6 linked regions of the Sus scrofa genome follow. The protein of the gene in region 1 purifies or fractionates together with the protein of each later gene. This does not show direct contact. Links are inferred from orthologs where the notes say so. Each region holds a gene or a part of one and is shown in the gene's direction. Other genes may lie near its edges.

Region 1 (3,500 bases):
CATACAGAAGGAATAACCTCAAACCAGTGATGACACCTGTGTTAAATCCTGAAGGATGACTAGGGTTATTTTGGGGGAAAGGGGTGTCTTTTAGGGCCACACCCACAGCATATGAACGTTCCCAGGCTAGGGGTCGAATTAGAACCTGCAGCTTCCAGCCTACACCACAGACACAGCAGCGCAGGATCCAAGCTGCATCTGCAACCCACACCACAGCTCACAGCAACTCCAGATCCTTAACCCATTGAGTGAAGCCAGGGATTGAACCCACATCCTTCATTGGTTCATTACCACTGAGCCACAACAGAAACTCGGGATCATTAGGTTTTAAGCACGTGAAGGTTGGGAATAAAACATTATAGATCAAGAGAGGGCTGAGGCAAAAGAGAACATGGTCTGCTTATGGAAACTATAAGTAAATAATACGGTAGGCAGAAGCTAGATCACAAAGAACCTTAATGCTAAGATAGGAAGTTTGGACTTCATCCTAAAGAATGAGGGAACCATGTAAGGTTATTAAGTAAAGAGATTATATTGTCAGATTTGTATTTTAGAAAGAATACTCTGGCTAGTGGAAAGATTGGATTAGAAATGCCTAAATCAGAAGTACTAAGACCAGGTAGGAAGCTTTTGCACTGACAAATGACAGGGGACTTTTAAGGTATGTGTCAGGGTGGCAGTTAGATAGAAGAACCAGTTGAATGTAGGAGTTGAACATGTTTAAGAGTATTCAGTTCATTCAACTGGAAAACAGGAGAGAGTGGAACTGTTTGTTTTATTGGAATATATAGGAAGAAACCTGTTTTAGTTATTGCTATGTTGACCTAAAATGACCCAAATCTCTGTTGCATATGGACATGTTGAGATTCATGAGGAAAATTTAGGAGCGATATCAGTAGGCATTGATTGACTTTATCTATGTAGGCTAGAGAAGAGAGATCTGCCCTAGAAGAATGTCTTAGAAGAATGAGATCACCTAAGGCTAGGGTGATCCTTTAATGTATCATATAGACCAGAACTTTTTAAAAAAAATAAGTAGGGCCTTTATTAATAGTTATGCCAGGATAGCAGGCTAATCCAGGACTATCCAAAGCAAACCAGAATAGTCACCTAGTCTAAGAGCATATAGAATCAAGAAGGCTAAGGATAAAACTCTGAAGGACAACACTAGAGGGTCAGTTATTTCCTCAAAAGAAGGTATGACCAGGGCATTAGAAAAGAATAAGTAGTAGTAGTGCTATAGGGAAAGAAAAATTTTAAAGGAAGAAGTGGTCAGCAGTCAGGCTACAGAGAGGTCAGTAAAATAAGGACTGATGAAGATTTGGTTAAATGACAGTATAGACAGCTTTGGTAGCAAGTTAAATAAAGAAGTTAAGACCGAATCCAGCAGTGGATTAATAAGTGAATGGGAAGTGAAGAAATTACCAGTAGTCAGTGTAAGCATTAACGAGGTTATTTATAAAGCCTAAGAGAAAGGGAGATAATTAGAGGAGAATTATAAGAAAGCAATGAGAGACTGTTTTGTTTTTTCAGACTTGTATGCATTTCAATATTTATAAAAGAGTCAAGATAAAATGAAATAAAGGATGATTGCTGGGTTTATGTTCTAGAGGAGGCCAAAAAAGGATAGGATTCAGAGTTTAGATGCTAGGGTTAGCTTTGAATGGAAGGAATAACCCCTGATTCTCTTTCCATATGTGGGAGGAGACAAAGAAAGGAACCTTTCAGACTCAAGTTTGTAGGGGGAACAGGAAATTAGAGATTTTCCTATCCAGTAGCCACTTATTTCCTCAGTGAAATAGGTATTCTGCAAATAGTGAGGGGAGAAGTGGTGAAATAGGAAGCCTAAGGAATGGTGAAGATTTTAAATAGTTATCATGAAATAGAGGAGAATAAGCAAATAAAGGACACACAGAAGAATTTCTGGCTAGTGTTGAAGAATCAGTTGATACTGGGCACTATGAATTTGTAGCACACTAACCTCTAAAGTTGGGCAGTTTAGCATATCTAAACAACTCTAAGAAAGTATAGCAAGAAAAAAACTATTGACAAAGTAGTTTAAGATTTACGGTAGAATAGTTGAAGTGATGAATCACATCAAGTCTGGATGGAAGGCCATGGGGATGGTAGGGAACTAGTAAGCTAGGGGAAAGTTCAGTCTTTTAATAAAAGGACTAGATATCTCAGTGCAGGCCAAGAATAGGAAAGCATGAGTTTCTAGGAAAAGTAAATAGTGGTTACACAGTTAAGAGTTTAAAAATGATATCAGGAGGGGAGCAGGGGATGACAAGGCCCAAGAAGTGAACTACAGTTGAGTGCAAGTATAGGTCTTTGAATTGAGGTGTCAAGAAACAATAAGGCTAAGATAAATCATCCACATGGACTTCATTACCCAGAATGATGACAAGATTGGAGATGGACAGTGTGAGCCAGATGCCAACTGTAGCAACCAGAAGGTTAGTCTTACCTAGTGAATATTTTTTCCAAAGTAAAACATTTGTTATAATTTTTTTGTTTTTTAGTACAAAGTGGTTGTCCCCAAAATTGGAAACATACTTGATCTTTGTACAGCGTTGTCTACTCTTTCAGGAGTACCTGCAGATAAGGTAGGGTGTTTTGGGATTTAAAGTATGTGAGTTGGAGTTTAGTTTTTCAGTGTTGTAAAACCAGCTTAATAGAAATTTATTTTCTTTTAGATGATAGTTACTGATATATACAATCATAGATTTCACAGAATATTTGCTATGGATGAAAACCTTAGTAGTATTATGGAACGGGATGATATTTATGTGTAAGTATAAAATTTATTGTGGAAAATATTACTTGAGAAAAAATTTAAAGGAAATATCATAAAATTTTCAGAGTTATAGTCAGTTTTATCCTTGTAGGTTTGAAATTAACATCAATAGGACAGAAGATACAGAGCATGTGATTATTCCTGTTTGCCTGAGAGAAAAATTTAGACACTCAAGTTATACCCACCATACTGGTTCCTCACTTTTTGGTCAGCCTTTTCTTATGGCTGTACCACGAAACAATACTGAAGATAAACTCTATAATCTTCTGCTTGTGAGAATGTGGTAAGTGCGAAACAGTTCTCATTTACAAAATAAAATATTAAATAACTAATAAAAGTAAACATGCAAGGTACTCTCAGAATGTCATTAGTTGTCTATATTATCTCAACACTGTTTAGACAGGTAGCAATGAAAGAAATCAAATTACAGTCTGATTCATTTCTTGATCATGAAAAACACATTACTGAGGTAATTTCACACCCAGGAAGCATGAATTCTTTTAGCTTTTTACACCACAAGTTTACAGTTGGAAGAAAATAGGAATTTATCACATATGCACTCTGTAATTATAACAAATGTCAGATGCTTGATTTCTTCATACACACTGCTCATACTAATATGAAGAACTCTTACAAATAGTTTTATTTAAAAGGATAAACTTTGACAGTTGATCCTTTTGTGGAACAACCCCTTTTTGTCTTA
Region 2 (3,500 bases), on another chromosome or scaffold:
TTTTGGCTTTTAGGGCCATACCCGCGGCATATGGAGCTTCCCAGGCTAGGAGTCCAATTGGAGCTGTAGCCTCCAGCATACACCACAGCCACAGCCACGCCAGATCCAAGCTGTGTCTGCGACCTACACCACAGCTCACGGCAACGCTGGATCCTTAACCCACTGAGCAAGGCCAGGGACTGAACCCATGTCCTCATGGATCCTAGTTGGGTTCATTACCACTGAGTCACAACAGCAACTTCGAGATCACATTCTTCCTAAGGCTTTGGTTTTCCTCTCCTTTGTAATGGGCATGATGGCTCTGGCCCTGCCACCTCTGCCACTGGTTGGGCCCCTAGCCAGTCCCTTGGTGCCTGTTCTCTTCCAGGGCCCATCAACAGGGAGATGCGCCACCTGATCAGCAGCCTCCAAAACCACAACCACCAGTTAAAGGGGGACGCCCAGCGATACAAGCGGAAGCTGCGGGAAGTGCAGGCTGAGATCGCCAAGGTGAGGAGAGGGCTGCCTGGGAAAAGCTGTGGCTACATGCCAGTAAGCATGTCACCCCCCCATCCCTGTTCTCTCTCTGCTTTGCAGCTCCGGGCCCAGGCCAGTGGCTCTACCCACTCCATCCCCACCCTGGGCCACCCAGAGGACTCCGGCCTCAGCACCCCAGCCCCAGGGAAAGAAGAAGGTGGCCCAAGCCCTGTTGTTGCCCCTGACACCAGAAAGGAGGTGGCTTCAATGCCTGGCACCACTATTACTACCTCCTCGGCAAAAAAGGAAGACTTGGGCCCCCCAGAGGAAGAAGCCCAGGCCCTGAACCCCGGGGCCCAGGGCCCCTCCTCCCGGGGCCGAGAACCCGAGGCCAGGCCCAAGCGGGAGCTTCGGGAACGCGAAGGGCCGGGCCTGGGACCCCCATCTGTGGCCTCGGCACTCTCCCGGGCTGATCGGGAGAAGGCCAAGGTGGAGGAGGCCAAGAGGAAGGAATCAGAACTCCTCAAAGGTCTCCGCGCAGAGCTCAAGTGAGGCCCTCCTCCTTTCTCCTTCCAACCGCTGCCCAGTGGCCTCCAACCCTAGTCACCAAGGCTTCCTCCTGTACCCCCCCAGGAAGGCCCAGGAAAGTCAGAAGGAGATGAAGCTGCTGCTGGACATGTATAAGTCCGCGCCCAAGGAGCAGCGGGATAAGGTGCAGCTCATGGCAGCCGAACGCAAGGCCAAGGCTGAGGTGAGGGCAGGTAGGGCCTGTGGGACGCGCAGAGAAGCTGCCTCAGGGGGTTCAGACCAGAGTGGAGCCCTAGGGGTGCAGTACTGGGATAGAAGAGCTCCCTCCTCTGGTGCTGATAGGTCGACGAATTGCGGAGCCGGATCCGGGAACTGGAGGAGAGGGATCGGAGAGAGAGCAAGAAGATCGCCGATGAGGATGCCTTGCGGCGCATTCGTCAGGCAGAGGAGCAGATAGAACATCTGCAGCGCAAGTTGGGTGCCACCAAGCAGGTGTGACCCCCTTCTGGTCCCCTTGCCTCTGAATGTTGGAATTCTCCAAACTTCTTGTAGTAGTACACAGCCTGCATTTGCTCAGTGGTTCCTCGGTCAGCCGTGTGTTCCTCTGGTTTCCCCGCTGTCCTGTCCCTCTGCCACATTCCCTCTTGCCCCTGCCCACTTGCTGCAGGAGGAGGAGGCTCTGCTGTCCGAGATGGATGTGACAGGCCAGGCTTTTGAGGACATGCAGGAGCAGAATGGGCGGCTGTTGCAGCAGCTGCGGGAAAAGGACGATGCCAACTTCAAGCTGATGTCTGAGCGGATCAAGGCCAACCAGATTCATAAGCTGCTGCGGGAGGAGAAAGATGAGCTGGGCGAGCAGGTTCTTGGCCTCAAGTCTCAGGTAAGCTTGCCATGGGCTGGGAGAGTGGAGCTGGAGAGGCAGGGATGTCCCAGCACTGAGTCCCCACCCCTGCCCTCAGGTGGATGCCCAGCTGCTGACCGTGCAGAAGCTGGAGGAGAAAGAGCGGGCCTTGCAGGGCAGCCTTGGGGGTGTAGAGAAGGAGCTGACGCTGCGCAGCCAGGCCCTGGAGCTCAACAAGAGGAAGGTGAGGCTGTACGTGAAGGTACAGCGACCTGGGATGCTGGCTCACACTCTCACTTTGTGATTCTGTCTAGAGAACTCCAAGCAGACCACCTGGGCTGAAGCCCCGCTCTGCTTCCTCTCTCAGCCTGGCTCATGTGTCAAAACACTCATTGAATTCCAGGCCCTGCGCCCAGAACATCCCATGAGTGGTCACGTTTAGGTGTCACCATAACCCCACAGTGGTGTTTGTTGTCATCCTCCTTTCATAAGTGAGGATACGGCTCAGGCAGGTAGTTGACTTGCTTAAGAAAGAGAAGAACCGGAATGTGGGCCTGGGTCTCCCTGACGGCGGCGTTGGCCAGCCATGCGATGGGGCTGGTGGCCCTGTCATGTGGATGGATGAAACCTAGAATGTCAAACTCACGGTGGGTGTTTCTGAGGGGAGCAGACTTAGGAAGGGCCTGTGTCACCATCTTGGTTTCACTCTTCTAGTTCATAGTAAAGGCTTACAGTTAACACTGAGGTGTTCCTTTGTGGCTCAGTGGGTTAAGGATCCAGCATTGTTACTGCTGTGGCGCAGGTTCGATCCCTAGCCTGGGAACTTCTGTGTGCCACAGGTGTGGCCAAAAAGAAAAAAAAAAAAAAAAAAAAAAAAGATGAATGTTGATTTTCATCTTCTTTTCCCAGCTGGACTTTTTCTCCTCCACTGAGCTCATTCATTTACACAGTATTAGTCATGCCCTCGGGAGATATCAGGACCTACACTCAGTGCTGGGGGCTCATGGGAGCAGGACAGCCCTGCTGGAAGTGGGGACTTCCAGATTTTGGGGGGGGGGGTTGTCTTTTTCCCATTTCTTGGGCTACCCCTGCAGTATATGGATGTTCCCAGGCTAGGGGTCTAATCAGAGCTGTAGCCGCCGGCCTACGTCAGAGCCACAGCAACGTGGGAACCGAGCCTCGTCTGTGCCCTCCAGCCCTACACCACAGCTCACGGCAACACCAGATCCTTAACTCACTGAGTGAGGCCAGGGATCGAACACGCAATCTCATAGTTCCTAGTTGGATTCCTTAACCCCTGAGCCACCACAGGAACTCCCGGGAATTCCAGTTGTGAGGGATGGATAGGAATCCTACAGATGAAATAGCATTATTACAGATGGCAGTAAGTTTTATGAAGGAAACTGAAGTGCATAAAAAAAAAAAAATAGTATATAGCCTTTCTTGGGAAGGGACACTGAGCTGAGGCTTAGGAGGAGTGGCAGGAAAGAAGTGTGTGTGCAGGGGGAGTTGAGGGGAACAGAGAGGAGCCCTGTGCTCTTCAGGAGAGCATCATGCAGCTGAGAAACTGACAGTGTTGGGGATGAGGGAGAACAGGAGGAGGTGAGGGTGGAGAGGTCCGGAGGCAGCACCAGCTCCAGTGGATATACTGGACTTGATCCCAAGAGCAGGAATC
Region 3 (3,943 bases), on another chromosome or scaffold:
GAAAAGCAAAACCAGAGACAATCTGTTTAAGGAATTCTAAATTTTTGACATACCCTGGGCTTCAAAGGGGAGATGCCAAGACCTCACTTGCCTTTCAGCTGCCCTTGGAAAACTGCACACAAAATTTCAAATCTGATAGGCAGCTCTAAAAGTCCTTTCTTGAGCCGCTTTATTGGCCGATGTAGGAACTTGGGCCCAGAGAGACAGAGTCGCCTCAGGTGTGGCAGAGACAGAATCAGATCTCCCGACTTTATGTCTCTGCCCGCCAGGAGGATCCCTAGGAAATGACACAAAACACAGCACGTTCATTACAAAGGTGAGGTCGGAGACTTTGGTTCGCGTCCCCAGACCGCCGAGAGCCCGGGGAAGGGGCTCTTGTAGGCTTCCCTCTGGCAGCCCCCCTCTGCAGGCCAGGCTGCGGCCCAGGCGAGCCCAGAGCTTCACCCACACCCCTCGCTCCTTCCCAGACTGGAGCAGAGGGCCGGGGAGGGGGCCTGGAAGGGTCTCTTAACAACAAAAGGCAAAAGTGGGGGTCTGCGGGGGTCAGAATTTCCTCGGGAGCTCTGGGGCTTGCCCTGTGACCTCGTAAAAAAAGAACTCGCCCACTAAATGTCTAACCTGAAGGCAGCAAGGGGCTGCAGGCAACGCCCAGGCTCGGCGGGCGGGGGGGTGCGAGCGCGGCGCCGCGCGGCAGCCGGGCCCTCGGGGTCCTTCCCGGCAGGCACTCGGCCCTCCGCCCGCCCTTCCTCGCTCCCCTCCCCCACACCCCTCCCCCACGGCCCTTTCCTTTTCTTTCTTTCCCGGGTCTGCTCGCCCCCACCCCGGCGGCGCCCGCTCGGCAGCTCGCCCAATGGTCGCGGGGCCGGGACGCGCATCAGCTGATCTGCCCGGGCTCCGGCCACTGGGAGCCAATCAGGACGCCGGGGGCGGCCCCAGCCGCCGATAAAAGCTGCTGGGCGGCGGACCGCCTTGCAGAGCCGAGAATGGGAGAAGAGCGGATGGTTTAAGGAGCACCCTCGGCCTCCTCGCCTCTCCGCTCCGATTCTCGCTCTCGCGGCCTGCCCGCCCTGCCTCCTGCTCGCCGCCCAGGTAAGCGCCCGCCTCGACCGGGGGCTCGGCAGTGACGCGCGCCTCCCGAGCCACCGCGCCGGGACGGATCGGTTCGGCTCGGCCCTTGCCACCTCCTGCTCCTTCTCAGCGCCTCGGCCTGCGGCGCCTCCCGCAGGCTTCAGCCGCTCGTAGCTCCCGCGGGTCTCGGTTGGCGATGGCTGGGCGCGCGCATCGACGGGCTTCGAGGAGGGCGGGGAGCTGTTTTGCTCTTCCTTCAGCTGCTTGCGGCCAGAGGCGTCGCCCCTGGAGGTCGCTCAGCGGGGCGAGTGGTGGAGGCACTGCCCGGGCCCGGAGCCCCCGGCCCGGCGGTGTGGCGGAGTGGTCCCTCGGTGGAAGCTTCGCTCTCCTCCTCCGCAGTGGCGGGCCCTGGGGCGGATCGGCGCGGTTAGACGCCTGCGTGGAGGCAAAGGACCGTGAGCGTGTGCAGGGCGGCCGCTCCCGCCGCGGGGTCCCGGGGGCCTACCCCTGTGACTGAACAATGGGGTGCCAGAGGCGCGGTGCGGCCCGGAGGGCGCGAGGGGTGGAGAGGCCTGGCGGGCCGGGCAGGGGCAGCAGTGGCCCGCTGTCCCTCCGGCAGACGTCCCTATTCCCCCTTCCCCCCTCCCCGACCTTGGAGGGGTATGGCCCCCTTGACGAGGCCCTGAGACCCGGGCGGGGCGCCCACGTTCGGGACATTTCAGTGGGAAAGGGCCGCTCTCAAAGTGGATTATTCCAACTGCCCCGGGGGCGGGAAGCGGGGATCCTCCCCGGGCCGCAAATCCGCGAAGACCATCACAAACGAAAATGAAGACGACCTGGAGTCGCGGTCCTCAGGGTCCCCCTCCAACTGCTTCGGCTTCGTCGCCTACTCAGTGAACGCTGGAGAGAAACCGCGAGTCAAAATCAAGTCCTTGACCCACCAGCCTTCGTATTCCTGCTCATCCCGGTCGGATCTCGACCCCTCCCCGACTCCGACTCCCTCTCCCTCTCCGTCTCCCTCGCCCAGAAAGCTCCGGTGCGTGGACCAGCGGGAGCCCGAGACCCACGAGAGGCGCGAACGCAGCTCCAAAAGGAGAAGGGCTAAGGAGGGCAACCCCATCGATACCATTGACCTTATGTGGCTGGGGTGAGTGAGGAGGCAGGGATGAGGACCCTAACTGCAGACACGGCTAAAACCTGCAGCATCCCATCCCCTCCCACCACCACCACTAATCTTGTTACCTGGGCGGCGGCACCAGTTAACATAATAGTAGACTAGGATGTTGGCAATCGACTTGTAATGGAACCGAGCTGGCACCACTGAAAAGAGCAGAACCCAAGCTTAAGGGAGAAAGTGTGTCTTGAAGTCGGAGATGTAACAGGTTGGGGTGGAAAGCCCGGAGATAGGATTCTTTATAAGAGTCAGGGATTTTTGTTGTTCCTGCCTTTAAAGGCTGGATGAGTTGGGGATAGGGGGAGCAGTATTTGACAGACCAAATCTTCTAAAGGGAATAGGCAAAAGTAGTGGTTGTCTGCTAACACGACATGACAGAGAGCTTCTCTTCCCCTCGGGGAAGGGTGAGGCTGTCCGAGGGAGAAGCAGTTTTGTTTTCAGCTGGGCAAACATGGGCCGGTTGCCCATAGAAACTTTGCCACTGTACTTCAGAAAGTTGCCCAAGTCATTGGAGGAGAACAATGTGTTCCCTTTGCAGCCACCCAGGGCTATCAACCCGGGACTGGAGGGGTAGAACGTTTCCTCTTGTGTTGAGGTTTGATTTTGTGGCCTCAGTGTCTCTTCTTTAAGGGGTTTGCAGTTTTTAGTATGCCTAGAGGCTTTTGAAACCCCAGATCTTTTTGATTTAGAAGTGGGGATTTTTTAATTCCTTGCAAAGTTCTCTGGTGGAATCTGGTCATTCTCAAACTGAAACTGACTTTCTGAAGTGAGAACTGATGAAAATTGACCATGTGCATCTTAGAATCCAGCTTGAATCAGCTATTTTTATATCCTGGTGGTTATAATAACTGCAGTTGTTTTAGGAAGCCACCAACCTCTTAAACCTTCTAGCTGGGCCCCTTGTTTCACCCTACCAACTTTATGTGGGTGGCAGGAGAGTGTTTGGTTTTTGGAGGGGTGGAGGAATCTTCAAAAGGATTTTTTATTGAGATATCCTCTGGGGTGCAAGGAAAAGGGAAGACAGTCCAGAGATCATAGCAGCTAAGCCTTGCTGTGGTTGGCGTCTACTTGGAGACGCAGTCTGTTCTGCAAACTTTCCTGTTTCTGAACTTCTGTATTTTCTTTTTTGTGTGTTTTGGGGTTTTTTCCTCTTCTGGTATCTTTAGTATGAGAAATGAAAAATTCCTCTACCTCTGGTACACTGCAAAAAATAGAACTTGGTCCTCACAAGTTTAGATTCTAGCTTGAGGAGGCTTATCAGGAGATTTTTGTCTAGTATAAACTTTTAGAAAGTTCCTTGTGGTGCAGTGGGTTAAGGAAGCGGCATTCCTACCACTGTGGCGGCGCAGGTTTGATCCCTAGCCCAGGAACTTCCACATGCCGAGAGTGCAGCCACAAACACACTTTTTAATCTCTCTGAAAGCAAATTAAAAATGTACTGTGTGTGTGTACAATTAAATAAATGTACTGTGTGTACTTTTGTGTGTGTGTGTGTGTGTGTGTGTGGTTTCCAAAGGGAAGGGCCACCACTCCCACTTGACTTCTTGATTTAATTATCCCTAATGAGTCATTCCTGCAGTGGGTTTGTCTGGAGTTGGTGTTCTTAGTTGTTTTCTGTTTTCTCTCTTTTTCTCCAGAACACCGTCCACCATGGCCACCTCAGCGAGCTCCCACTTGAACAAAGGCATCAAGCAGGTGTAC
Region 4 (3,500 bases), on another chromosome or scaffold:
AAATCAAGCTCAGAGAATTTACTGTTTGTGTTGGACGTTCAGTTAATCATACTAGTCCAACAGCAGTTTACATTCACACTGAGATAAAAAACATGGCTAATTGGCGCATTGTAGCTGTTTTGTAGTGGAGGTAAATTAGCATTGCTGCAAGATTCAAGCATTATATCCACTGGACACTTGCCTAAGTTTGATGTTTTCTGCAGGTTTGATATTTTCTAGCTTGGTTTGATTATTCGTGTTGTAAGTGAATTAAAGGATACTTAACATATTTTCCCTAAACGCTTTTAAGATGATCGTGTTTAAATAAATGTAACTTTTAATTTTAAATTCATAAATTCCGTGTATTTATATATGATTTATACTTATTTCTAGGGGCCACCTACAGATGCTCCTGCTGTGGACACAGCAGAACAAGTCTATATCTCTTCCCTGGCACTATTGAAAGTAAGTATTGAATGTAAATACTTGTTTTAGAGAGCTCTGCTGCTTGCACTGTATCTTTTAGTTTGTAATAGTTTTCACGTTAATCCTCTCATACATAAGCTGTTGTTTTAGGTACATCTATAGAGTATGTTTCCAGTGAAATGCAATTGGGTTATGAATTTATTTTAAAAAGGGTCCAAAGATCTCAAAGCTTTGTGTCTCTATCTTCCTCTTTACAGATGTTAAAACATGGTCGCGCTGGAGTTCCAATGGAAGTTATGGGTCTGATGCTTGGAGAATTTGTTGATGATTACACCGTCAGAGTGATTGATGTGTTTGCTATGCCACAGTCGGGAACAGTGAGTACTTTCATGGTTGCCTGCTGCAAGTAAATTTGTTTCTTTTCTTTTCTTATGCAGAATAACTCATCATATTGTAATTTTCTCTTTATGATAGGAAAAATTCATCATAAGACTAATGATAGGAAATTTTATATTGTAGTGAATTAAATCATTGATCTTTTAAATGCATCATAAATTCCCTATAGGTCCACAAACTGAGTGATGCTAACAGTCTCTTTCCTTGTACCTTCAGCTTTAACTAGCAACACATTCTGGGTTTATAAATTAGTTACGTTAAGATAGTAGAATATTAGTTTGATTAGTTTGAACACTAGGTTCAAATGATTTTAGTGACTCTCTTAATTAGATTTTTAATTCACGTGCATTATCCAATCCTCATGTTTTGTTCTGATTGTTTTGAAATATGGCTCTTACAATATTCTATATATGGTGATAGATGACTCTTAAGCTTTTCTGATGCAAAATGTTAAGTTTCAGAAACCCAAAACACCATGACAAACTTTAGTTCTTTTTGCCTAGGTATGGTAATTTGCTTATAGAAGAAGTGTATTGAATGTAGATTTTGAAAGTCCTCTACTCTGCTCCTTTAGAGCTCATTGTTCTTTCTGGGAGTTTTTTGTTTTGTTTTGTTGTTTTGTTTAATTCGTTGGACTTGTAGATAGGTGTATATTCAGATTTTTTTTTAAATGGCCAAAAAACAACTGTTCTACTTCCCTTCTCATCTATTTGCCTAGGAATATATATTTACTTGATGAATTTTTTTCTCTAATATGCAACACTGTTCTTATTGAGCCTTGTAAAATATCTGGATTAAAGAAATTGTCATAAAACTGTTTGCTCTGCTTGAGGCTCTTTACTGTGAGTATACTTTGATAAAGTGAATGCTAGAGAAAAACAAATCCTATTTTAAAATAATGAAGTGTATATGTGTATATATACATATACATACCTATATATAATAAACATTTTTGTTCTTGTTCTGTTTTGTTTGCTACTTCAGCAGTATGTGGAAGGTCCCAGGCCAGGGGTCAGACCCATGCCAGAGCAGTGACATCGCCAGATCTTTAACCCACAGGGCCACCAGGGAACTCTATGATAAGCACTTTAAATAGAGTAGTTGCTGCAGAATACAGTGTATTTATAAATAATGCAAAATACAGAAAAAGACACAAGTTTTTTTCTCCAAATAGATCAGTTTGTTGAGGTAAAGTAATTTAGACCTGCAGATTTTGTCCACCTGGATTTATATCCATTGTATTTATTTTGTGTATTTGGGCATAGAGAAATACACTCCATATTACCTAAAGATATAGGTTTAAATCTTAGACTATTATTACTTGTATCTATTTTTTTATGTCAGAATATATGAAGCATACTAAAATAAAAGCATTTTGTTATTTCTGTTATGTATCGTCCTTAGTCGATGTTCATTATAAAAAGGGTTGTTAAGCTTTAATATCATGTATTTATTTGTAAATGCTTACTTGACAACATAAAATAGAGTTAGGGTTAGGGTTAGGGAATATTAGAATATTATATTTGATCCCTAGGTTCACTCCGTGTATTAGAATTGGAAAGTTTTTCTTCTAGCCTAAGAGTTAGCAAACTTTTTCTGTAAAGACATATGTCTCTGTCTCCTATTCCTGGTTTATTTATTTTTTTTAAACCACCCTTTAAAATGTAAAAAAAAAATCTTAGCCTGTAGGCAGCAGATTGCATACCCCTGTTCTTGAGGATGCACTCTCAATTAGAATTCAAAATACTGTTTGTTTTGGTGGGAAGAAGTACTTATGTTAACTGGTTTGTTTAAATAGATTAGACTTAAATTCCTGATGTTAAAGGAAAGCCTGGAGGGAACTATAATGGCAGTGATCTCTCCCTGGAGAGATGATATGAATGCCTTTAGTTCTTCATATCCTAAAATTTTCTTTTGGTTGAACTAGTGAAATAATGCAACATTTAAAAGACTTGATTACAGATTGTCTCTTGTGGGGAATTTTTTGTGAATGCTTTCATATTTGAGGTAATAATCAAAAGTATATATTTCCCTCCAATTGTCTAATCTACCAAGTAGTCCTAACTAAAGCACAGAACTTCCTCCCCACCCCTCAGAAAATGAATGCAACTCTGGGAAAACTAATAAATTACTTTCCTTCCTCAATGTGTTTACTGGGGGGTGGGGGTGAGGGGGAAGAGAGAGAAACTTGAGGCTGTTGCTTATTATAGTAGAATAGTTGTAGAACTTTGGATGAGATGTACTGAGACCTAGTGCTTATCAGTTATCAAAGGATGACAGGAAGTATGCTTGCCTAGATAGTGCTAACCAAAAAATAGTTGGTTTACCTATCGGGGTTATTTCTTTGTGTGTGTGTGTGTGTGTGTGTGTGTGTGTGTGTGTGTGCGCGCGCGCACACATTAGTCATGATCTTAAACTCTTTTAAAGGGTCTTGTAAATTATCCTAACTCATTAGCGTTAGCAGTTTGGTACTTGGCAAATTTAGAAGTTTTATTGCTGTATGGTTTATAATCAGATGACTTGAGTGGGTATCAAATATGGTTACCAAAACCTGCATAGGTTTTTAGCTTTTTGTTCATTACATTGTAATATAAAATTTTTTTTCATTGTTATAGAAGCTCATCATTTTTCTTTCTCTCTAAACCAGGGTGTCAGTGTAGAAGCAGTTGATCCAGTGTTCCAAGCCAAAATGTTAGATA
Region 5 (3,500 bases), on another chromosome or scaffold:
TTCTACCTAACCCAAATCCTCACACAGGGCAGCCAGAGCAGCTGTAATATTATATTTTCCATTAGCCACGTTTCAGTTGGTTAAAAGGTTAAAAGAAAAACAAGTAGAATACAACTCCTGAAATATAAGAATGCTTTTTAAAGACATATCCAAAATAGCATGGATTATTATTATTATTATAAAAAAAAACCCAAACCAAAAGTCCTTTTAATGTGATTGATATTTACCTATATCTCTCTAATATGCTATTTGTTTTTGTACATTCATTTTCCTGCCTGACAGTTGACAATGACACACCAGTTACTCTTGGGGTATATCTGACCAAGAAGGAACAGAAGAAACTTCGAAGGCAAACAAGGAGGGAAGCACAGAAGGAACTACAAGAGAAAGTCAGGCTGGGCCTGATGCCTCCTCCAGAACCCAAAGGTACATATCGTAGAGGCAAGAAAGAAAGGGTGGCAAGTTTATCTCTGTCACTCTAGAAGAACTTGAGCATCTCCCTACATTTTTTTTGTTTTTTGTTTCTCAGAATCATTCATTGATTCTTTTTTTCCTTTCCTAAATTTTCTACTGTCTTATTAAGACAGGTCAACATAGTCATTGTAGAGGTCATTTAAGGCTTTTTTAAAAAGTAGTATTGACCATGTAACACTCTGGAAGAATAATAGCTTTGAAATTCATCAAGATAGTAGTTGGAGTATCTGCATAGAGTAGTTACGTTCATAATTCTAATGTTCAAAAAATGAAAATCTAGTTAAACCTCACTCCTATAGTCTCCGTTATCATTTAGTAATACTTTGAGTTTATGTATAGGACCTTTCACTAAATGCTGTGATCAGAGTGAAAAATGCCAAAGAATTAAATTCTCTGTCTTTTGTAAATTTTCAAGCAATGTGAATAAATGCATACCAGCTATTTAGACTAATAGATGTTCCACAAATGCTGAGTTAATTGGATGGTCTTTCAGGGTAGGAGTATCTGGAGAAAGTGAGTTTTGAGCAGAGATTTGAAATAGGCGAATAATATGAATTGGTAGAGAAGAGATTGACGGGTTATCCTAGTTAGAGTAGTGACTTAGGAGATTGATGTCTGTCCTCTCTTCACTACAGTGAGAATTTCAAATTTGATGCGAGTATTAGGAACAGAAGCTGTTCAAGACCCCACGAAGGTAGAAGCCCATGTCAGAGCTCAGATGGCAAAAAGACAGAAGTAAGTGCCATGGGATTGGGTGGAAACCCAGGGCAAGTACCTTTCCCAAACTCTTCTGGGGGAATCCATATTTGGAGGGAGGGGAGAGTCCTCCGTTGCTCTCTCTTTCCCTCAGCCCTGCCTCTGATCTTCAATGCCTTTCTCACTTGTGGATGTCCTTCCTGTCACGACAGAGCGCATGAAGAGGCCAACGCTGCCCGAAAACTTACAGCAGAACAGAGAAAGGTCAAGAAAATTAAAAAGCTTAAAGAAGACATTTCACAGGGGGTACACATATCTGTATATAGGTAGGTGTCCAAACTGGGCCAGCCTTTCCCTTAGAGATATCAAAATATTTTCCAAGTGCTTAAGACAGAATCACTGTGGTCTAAAGCATACCTAACATCAGCCTCAACTCTCTTGTAATGACCTAGTGTAAATCAAGAGCTAGTCAATCTTTTACAATGGCAAGGGTTAAAAAACCTACTCAGAAGAGTAGTTCGCTCTTGAATATTAGTGGTTCTCTCATGAATTTAGTTCTCTGAGGTCTTAGTGAACTAGTACTGGTTCTGAAGAATGAGTGAATGAATATGCTTGTTCAGGCTAAAATGTAAACTAAGTATCATTTATCTTCTATGAAGTATATTATTTCTCTAGGAAGCATTAAAAGTTTTTTCCTCAGTTAATTATATCTTTATTCTAATGTGTTAAACCTTTTATTCCCACTCCAAAATAGGCTTTATACACTGTAAATATTTTCTTCCTTTTGTGTTGTTTTCATTTTATTCTTTTATGTCAAGTACATGTGTATCTTTTATTTGAGTTCATGTTTAGTAAATAGTTCTTTATTATAAAAATGGCACATTATGGAAATTCCCATGTGGCATAGCAGGTTAAGTATCTGGTGTTGCTGCAACTGCGGTGTGGGTTTCATCCCTGGCCTGGGAATTTCCATGAGCCACAGTTGCAGCTAGGAAAAAAAAACAAAGGTAGTGAATCCTTACTAAGATAATGAACATTTGAACAACACAAAGGACACTTACTGAAAAAGTCCTTTTCCTATTCTCTGATCTCTTAGGACCACTCACTCTAGGTAGTTGCCACTTACAGTTTTTCATGTGTCCTAGAAATTTTTCATGCATAGTATTGTCACTACATTATAAGCATCTGAAGGGCAAAGAATTTGTTGCTCTTTGTACTCAAGAACAACTGCCATATAAATATTTTTGGATGATGGTAAATATCTTTTCTTCATTCTTAAAGTTTGATCAGGGAAATTGCTATTTGTTTTAGGGTATACACTGCAAACTCTGAAGAAGCTTACAACAGTAGAAATAATTCTAGGAGTTCCTGCCATGGCTCAGTGGTTAACGAACCCGACTAGGAACTATGGGGTTGCGGGTTCAATCCCTGGCCTTGCTCAGTGGATTGGGGATCTGGCGTTGCCGTGAGCTGTGGTATAGGTCGCAGACGCGGCTCAGATCCCGCGTTGCTGTGGCTCTGGTGTAGGCTGGTGGCTACAGCTCCGATTAGACCCCTAGCCTGGGAATCTCCATATGCCGTGGGAAGCAGCCCTAGAAAAGACAAAAAAGACAAAAAAAAAAAAAAAAAGAATTCTAGACTCATCAGTTCTACATTTTAAGCATTTGTATATTTGCTTACTCCACATGCCTTCGTTTTTAGAGAGAAAACTATTTTGGATCCATCTTTATTTGCCATTCCATGCAGGCAGCTACTGATGCTAAAATGAAAGCCATAACTAAACTCTCCCTTCTCCAGAGTTCGAAATTTGAGCAACCCAGCCAAGAAGTTCAAGATTGAGGCCAATGCTGGGCAACTGTACCTGACAGGGGTGGTGGTACTGCACAAGGATGTCAACGTGGTAGTAGTGGAAGGGGGTGAGTCTAAAAAAAATTGAGGGAGAACGTCCCCAGGCAACCCTAGACCTTGAAGTGATTAGCATGGTGGGAAGAAAAGAAAAAAAGATAGTCATTTTAGAGCCGTACCTGAGTATAATATCTTGGGCCTTTGTTTCTGTTTATTGGAGTAGAAGGACCTAAGATGTGGTTCCTGGGACTGCTCTAGCACTTAATGTCTGAGCATTGAATGAGCTCGGAGGTTCTTTCTACCCCATGGTCTTCTGCAACTCTCGCAAAATTCTCCTTCTCTGTTTATAGGCCCCAAGGCCCAGAAGAAATTTAAGCGTCTTATGCTGCATCGGATAAAGTGGGATGAACAGACATCTAACACAAAGGGAGATGGTGAATGGGGGTTAGAGGGGAGTATGTGGGAGGTGGGATGGTACTCTGTCC
Region 6 (3,500 bases), on another chromosome or scaffold:
TGCCTCCAGTATTAGTGCCACGGCATACTGAGATCTTAACAGAACTACCACCTCTGGATGATTATACCCACTCCATTCCAGAAAACACTAATTTCCCAGCGGGAATTGAGCCACAGAGTAATTATATCCCAGGTATTTTGGCCCTTTGAGTCTCCTAAAATTTGGGATACATACCAATTGTGTGCATAAACATTCATGTATTAGCATACTAATAGTTTTATGACTGGGCTTTTAAAAAAATGCTCTGGATTTTGAATAGAAAAATTACACCTGTCTGCTTTTCTGGACAGCGGGGCTTATCCTGCTCCAGCAGACAGCAAAACCTTGGAATTTACTTTTTATTCCACTGCAAAAGAAATTTTAACATTTTTTCCCAAAACTCTAGTAGCTTTATTATTTATTATTTTATAGATAAATAGTAATAGAGAAAAATGAAAAAGGATAAAATATAATTTCAGTATTTCTTCGTATTTAGACCTTTAAGTCATGGGTGGTTAAACCGGCAAAGCTTATCTCTCTTTAATTTTATTTGCTTTAACCTTTAAAATAGCACATAATGGTTTGTATTCTTATTTTTGTATCTTCATTGTTTTGAGTATATGACGGAATTTATTTTATTTTGTGAATTTCATTATTAAATTTTGGGGGGCACTGACACTTAAATGAAAAGTTTGGTACTTAAAATTTATAGTTGGCTTACTGAAGAAAGATTGTTAAGAGTTAATGAAGGGGACCTTTAATCCATCTCTTTTTTATCCTCCTTTTGATAATTACAAAATTCTTAGTACATGTCAGCATTAATGTAAAACATTGCTTAAAACTATAACAGTGTTAAATGTTAAACTTTTTCCTTCTTGAAATTATAATTGCTAGTATAAATATTTTTATTTTACATGGAACTTATTTAGATACTCAGATGCCTCCCAAATATAAACATTTTGTTCATAAATCATAATGACATGTTAGAATCCTATTTTTTTTTTAGAGTTCCCGACATGGCGCAGCAGAAACGAATCCAACTAGGAACCATGAGGTTGTAGGTTCGATCCCTGGCCTCGCTCAGTGGGTTAAGGATCCAGGGGTGCTGTGAGCTGTGGTGTAGGTCAAAGACACGGCTCAGATCTGGCATTGCTGTGCCTGTGGCGTAGGCTGGCAGCAACAGCTCCGATTCAACCCCTAGCCGGGGAACTCCGTATGCTGAGGTGCGACCCTAAAAAAAAAAAAAAAAGAGTAGAATCCTGTTTTTTTTTTTTTTTTTCAGGAAATAGTTTACCTTAGTTTTGTGTAGTAGCCTATATTTGAATTTCCCTCAGGATTTACTGGTTAGAAATCCCTGGAGCAATATACTTTTTAGGTAGAATTCAAGTTAGACCAGTCCTAAGCTATATTACTGTATTTTGCCCTAAAGAACCTAGTGTAAGATGTAAGCCTGTATTACTTTGTAATCTGAAATCTTGTTTGGGTGTTTTGTGTGTCCTTTAATCATCTCTAAGTACCCATCTATGATGGCTATTGGTTTAAAAAAGAAAAATGTGGGTACTAATTTCTTTGAAGCATACTGATTCAGATCCGAGGCATTTTTGAAGTTATATTTTTGGCTCTTGCCCCAGAAAATACACATAGGAGAATGAGCCAGATATGTAAATAATAGCTAACAAAATATTCTCCAGAGAGCTCAATTGTATTACCAGTAGGTTTTAAGACTTCTCTTCACCTGTAAGGGTTGGGAAGAACCTGAATCATAAGCCCTCAGTATCCAATATTGCTTTTTTTTTCTTTCTTTCTTTTTTTTTTTTTTTTTTTTCTTTTTAGGGCTGCATCCGAGGCATTTTTTTTTTTTAGGTTCCCAGGCTAGGTGTCAAATTGGAGCTGCAGCTGCTGGCCACCTCTGCGACCTACACCACAGCTCATCACAGCAACTGAGTGAGGCCAGGGATCAAACCTGCAACCTCATGGTTCCTAGTTGGATTCGTTTCCACTGCGCCATGATGGGAATGCATCCAAGTATTACTTTTTATAGTAATGTTATAAAACATTCATGTTTGTTACTTGGAGTGATTTGTTGGTCATCTTTGGTAGCTGGGAGAAAAGATGATGAGATTAGATGGCAGCTATACTTGATTTGTTCTAAACTTTTGTAGAAACGCCACCTCCTGGATATATCAGTGAAGATGGAGAAACGAGTGATCAACAGTTGAACCAAAGTATGGACACAGGTAAGAAATAGTTTTCAAAATTTCTCTGTAGTTAGATAATACATTTTTGCCTTGTTTAAAACTCACTAGAGTTACTCATAACCTTTACATTTAAAGAAGTTGGACACATATCCAAAAAAAATCTTTTATCTTGGTTTAATCATATTCGGACCATCAAAGGGAGGACTTGTTCTCAGTGAAAGATTAACATATGCTCCTCTGCAGAAGAATTGTTAGAATTTTCTCTCATTAGAGTAAATGAAGAACACTCAGATACTTTTGTAAGTATTCTGTGCTTCTGTTTAAAGTTTTAGTTACTCTGAATAAATATCTTTGTGATGACTCTTTTAGCCCAATAACAAATTTTCAGAGGAATTTAGAGCTAAGAGATGGGATCAGCTTTTCAGTGCTCTTTTAACTTAATAGTGAGTTCTGAATTATTGTAGCTCATTTACACCAAATACCTTGTACACTATGCCTGATCTAATTCAATTAATTTCTAACATTTAGCTACCAGTTTCCAATACAACGAAGAGAAAATTTTAACATGTAATAAATATCACACACACCAAAGCTTTAAAACAGTTATGTAATAAAATGTATATAACTCATCAGAACTAATAGGTTACCAGTGAAATAGCTACGATGTCAGTGTAATTGTCTGTTTTGATCTATTCCACCCTGCTTATAGCTTAGGGATTGGTCACCTTAATATCCCAACCTGTCAGAGTATAGCATCAGCTTTTTTACATTTTATAGTAAAGCATTCTGCACTTATGATAATATTAGTTATTTTTTAAATGGTGGGGACTAAGATGGTTGGCCTTTTTTTTTTTTTTCTTCCTTCTTTTAAATGGCTGTACCTGTGACATATGGAATTTCCCCGACTAGAGACTGAATTGGAGCTGCAGCCAAGGCCCCCACCACAGCCATGGTAACACCAGATCTGAGCCGCATCTGTGACTTACACTGCAGCTTAAAGCAACACCAGATCCCTAACCCACTGAGCTAGGCCAGGGATTGAACCCGCATCCTCACAGAGACTATGCCATGTTCTTAATCTGCTGAGCCACAACAGGAACTCCTGGCTTTTAGAATAATTTTGTTGTTTAAATTCTTCCATTATTTAAACTCCTAGGTAAAGAAGCTTCTGCTATAGCTAATCACATTTTTTTAAAATAGGAGATATCCAGAGTTCTCTGCTGGTTCAGCAGGATAGGGATCCAGCATTGTCACTGCTGTGGCTCAGGTTACTGCCATGGCTTGGGTTTAACATCTGGCCCAAGAACTTCCAGCCATTGATGT

What was found.
Region 2: the proteins of USP15 (region 1) and RNF40 purify together in Homo sapiens (affinity purification with mass spectrometry; 4 studies listed by BioGRID and IntAct, with this or other methods). This does not show direct contact. The link is inferred for Sus scrofa from reciprocal best matches to the Homo sapiens genes USP15 and RNF40.
Region 3: the proteins of USP15 (region 1) and GLUL purify together in Homo sapiens (affinity purification with mass spectrometry; 3 studies listed by BioGRID, with this or other methods). This does not show direct contact. The link is inferred for Sus scrofa from reciprocal best matches to the Homo sapiens genes USP15 and GLUL.
Region 4: the proteins of USP15 (region 1) and PSMD14 purify together in Homo sapiens (affinity purification with mass spectrometry; 3 studies listed by BioGRID). This does not show direct contact. The link is inferred for Sus scrofa from reciprocal best matches to the Homo sapiens genes USP15 and PSMD14.
Region 5: the proteins of USP15 (region 1) and PRPF3 purify together in Homo sapiens (affinity purification with mass spectrometry; 3 studies listed by BioGRID and IntAct, with this or other methods). This does not show direct contact. The link is inferred for Sus scrofa from reciprocal best matches to the Homo sapiens genes USP15 and PRPF3.
Region 6: the proteins of USP15 (region 1) and SMAD2 purify together in Homo sapiens (affinity purification with western blotting; 4 studies listed by BioGRID). This does not show direct contact. The link is inferred for Sus scrofa from reciprocal best matches to the Homo sapiens genes USP15 and SMAD2.

Annotation. Positions count from the first base shown.
Region 1 is NC_010447.5:27,065,514-27,069,013, forward strand, and holds part of USP15 (ubiquitin carboxyl-terminal hydrolase 15), read left to right. Parts: intron 1-2,522; coding exon 2,523-2,606; intron 2,607-2,696; coding exon 2,697-2,791; intron 2,792-2,888; coding exon 2,889-3,080; intron 3,081-3,500. UniProt on the Homo sapiens protein: Hydrolase that removes conjugated ubiquitin from target proteins and regulates various pathways such as the TGF-beta receptor signaling, NF-kappa-B and RNF41/NRDP1-PRKN pathways.
Region 2 is NC_010445.4:17,625,991-17,629,490, reverse strand, and holds part of RNF40 (E3 ubiquitin-protein ligase BRE1B), read left to right. Parts: intron 1-364; coding exon of another isoform or gene 365-367; coding exon 368-489; intron 490-576; coding exon 577-1,004; intron 1,005-1,089; coding exon 1,090-1,207; intron 1,208-1,326; coding exon 1,327-1,476; intron 1,477-1,651; coding exon 1,652-1,864; intron 1,865-1,943; coding exon 1,944-2,069; intron 2,070-3,500.
Region 3 is NC_010451.4:123,759,576-123,763,518, reverse strand, and holds the start of GLUL (glutamine synthetase), read left to right. Parts: upstream 1-1,353; intron 1,354-1,573; coding exon of another isoform or gene 1,574-1,785; intron 1,786-1,923; exon of another isoform or gene 1,924-2,095; 5' UTR 2,096-2,204; coding exon 2,205-2,215; intron 2,216-3,879; coding exon 3,880-3,943. Other genes in the region: serine/arginine repetitive matrix protein 2-like, read right to left, coding at 127-277, 619-1,353, 1,574-1,785. UniProt on the Homo sapiens protein: Glutamine synthetase that catalyzes the ATP-dependent conversion of glutamate and ammonia to glutamine.
Region 4 is NC_010457.5:68,162,879-68,166,378, forward strand, and holds part of PSMD14 (26S proteasome non-ATPase regulatory subunit 14), read left to right. Parts: exon of another isoform or gene 1-366; intron 367-372; coding exon 373-444; intron 445-662; coding exon 663-782; intron 783-3,448; coding exon 3,449-3,500.
Region 5 is NC_010446.5:98,751,225-98,754,724, reverse strand, and holds part of PRPF3 (U4/U6 small nuclear ribonucleoprotein Prp3), read left to right. Parts: intron 1-282; coding exon 283-426; intron 427-1,109; coding exon 1,110-1,209; intron 1,210-1,382; coding exon 1,383-1,496; intron 1,497-2,967; coding exon 2,968-3,086; intron 3,087-3,365; coding exon 3,366-3,449; intron 3,450-3,500. UniProt on the Homo sapiens protein: Plays a role in pre-mRNA splicing as component of the U4/U6-U5 tri-snRNP complex that is involved in spliceosome assembly, and as component of the precatalytic spliceosome (spliceosome B complex).
Region 6 is NC_010443.5:97,446,224-97,449,723, reverse strand, and holds part of SMAD2 (mothers against decapentaplegic homolog 2), read left to right. Parts: coding exon 1-132; intron 133-2,141; coding exon 2,142-2,216; intron 2,217-3,500. UniProt on the Homo sapiens protein: Receptor-regulated SMAD (R-SMAD) that is an intracellular signal transducer and transcriptional modulator activated by TGF-beta (transforming growth factor) and activin type 1 receptor kinases.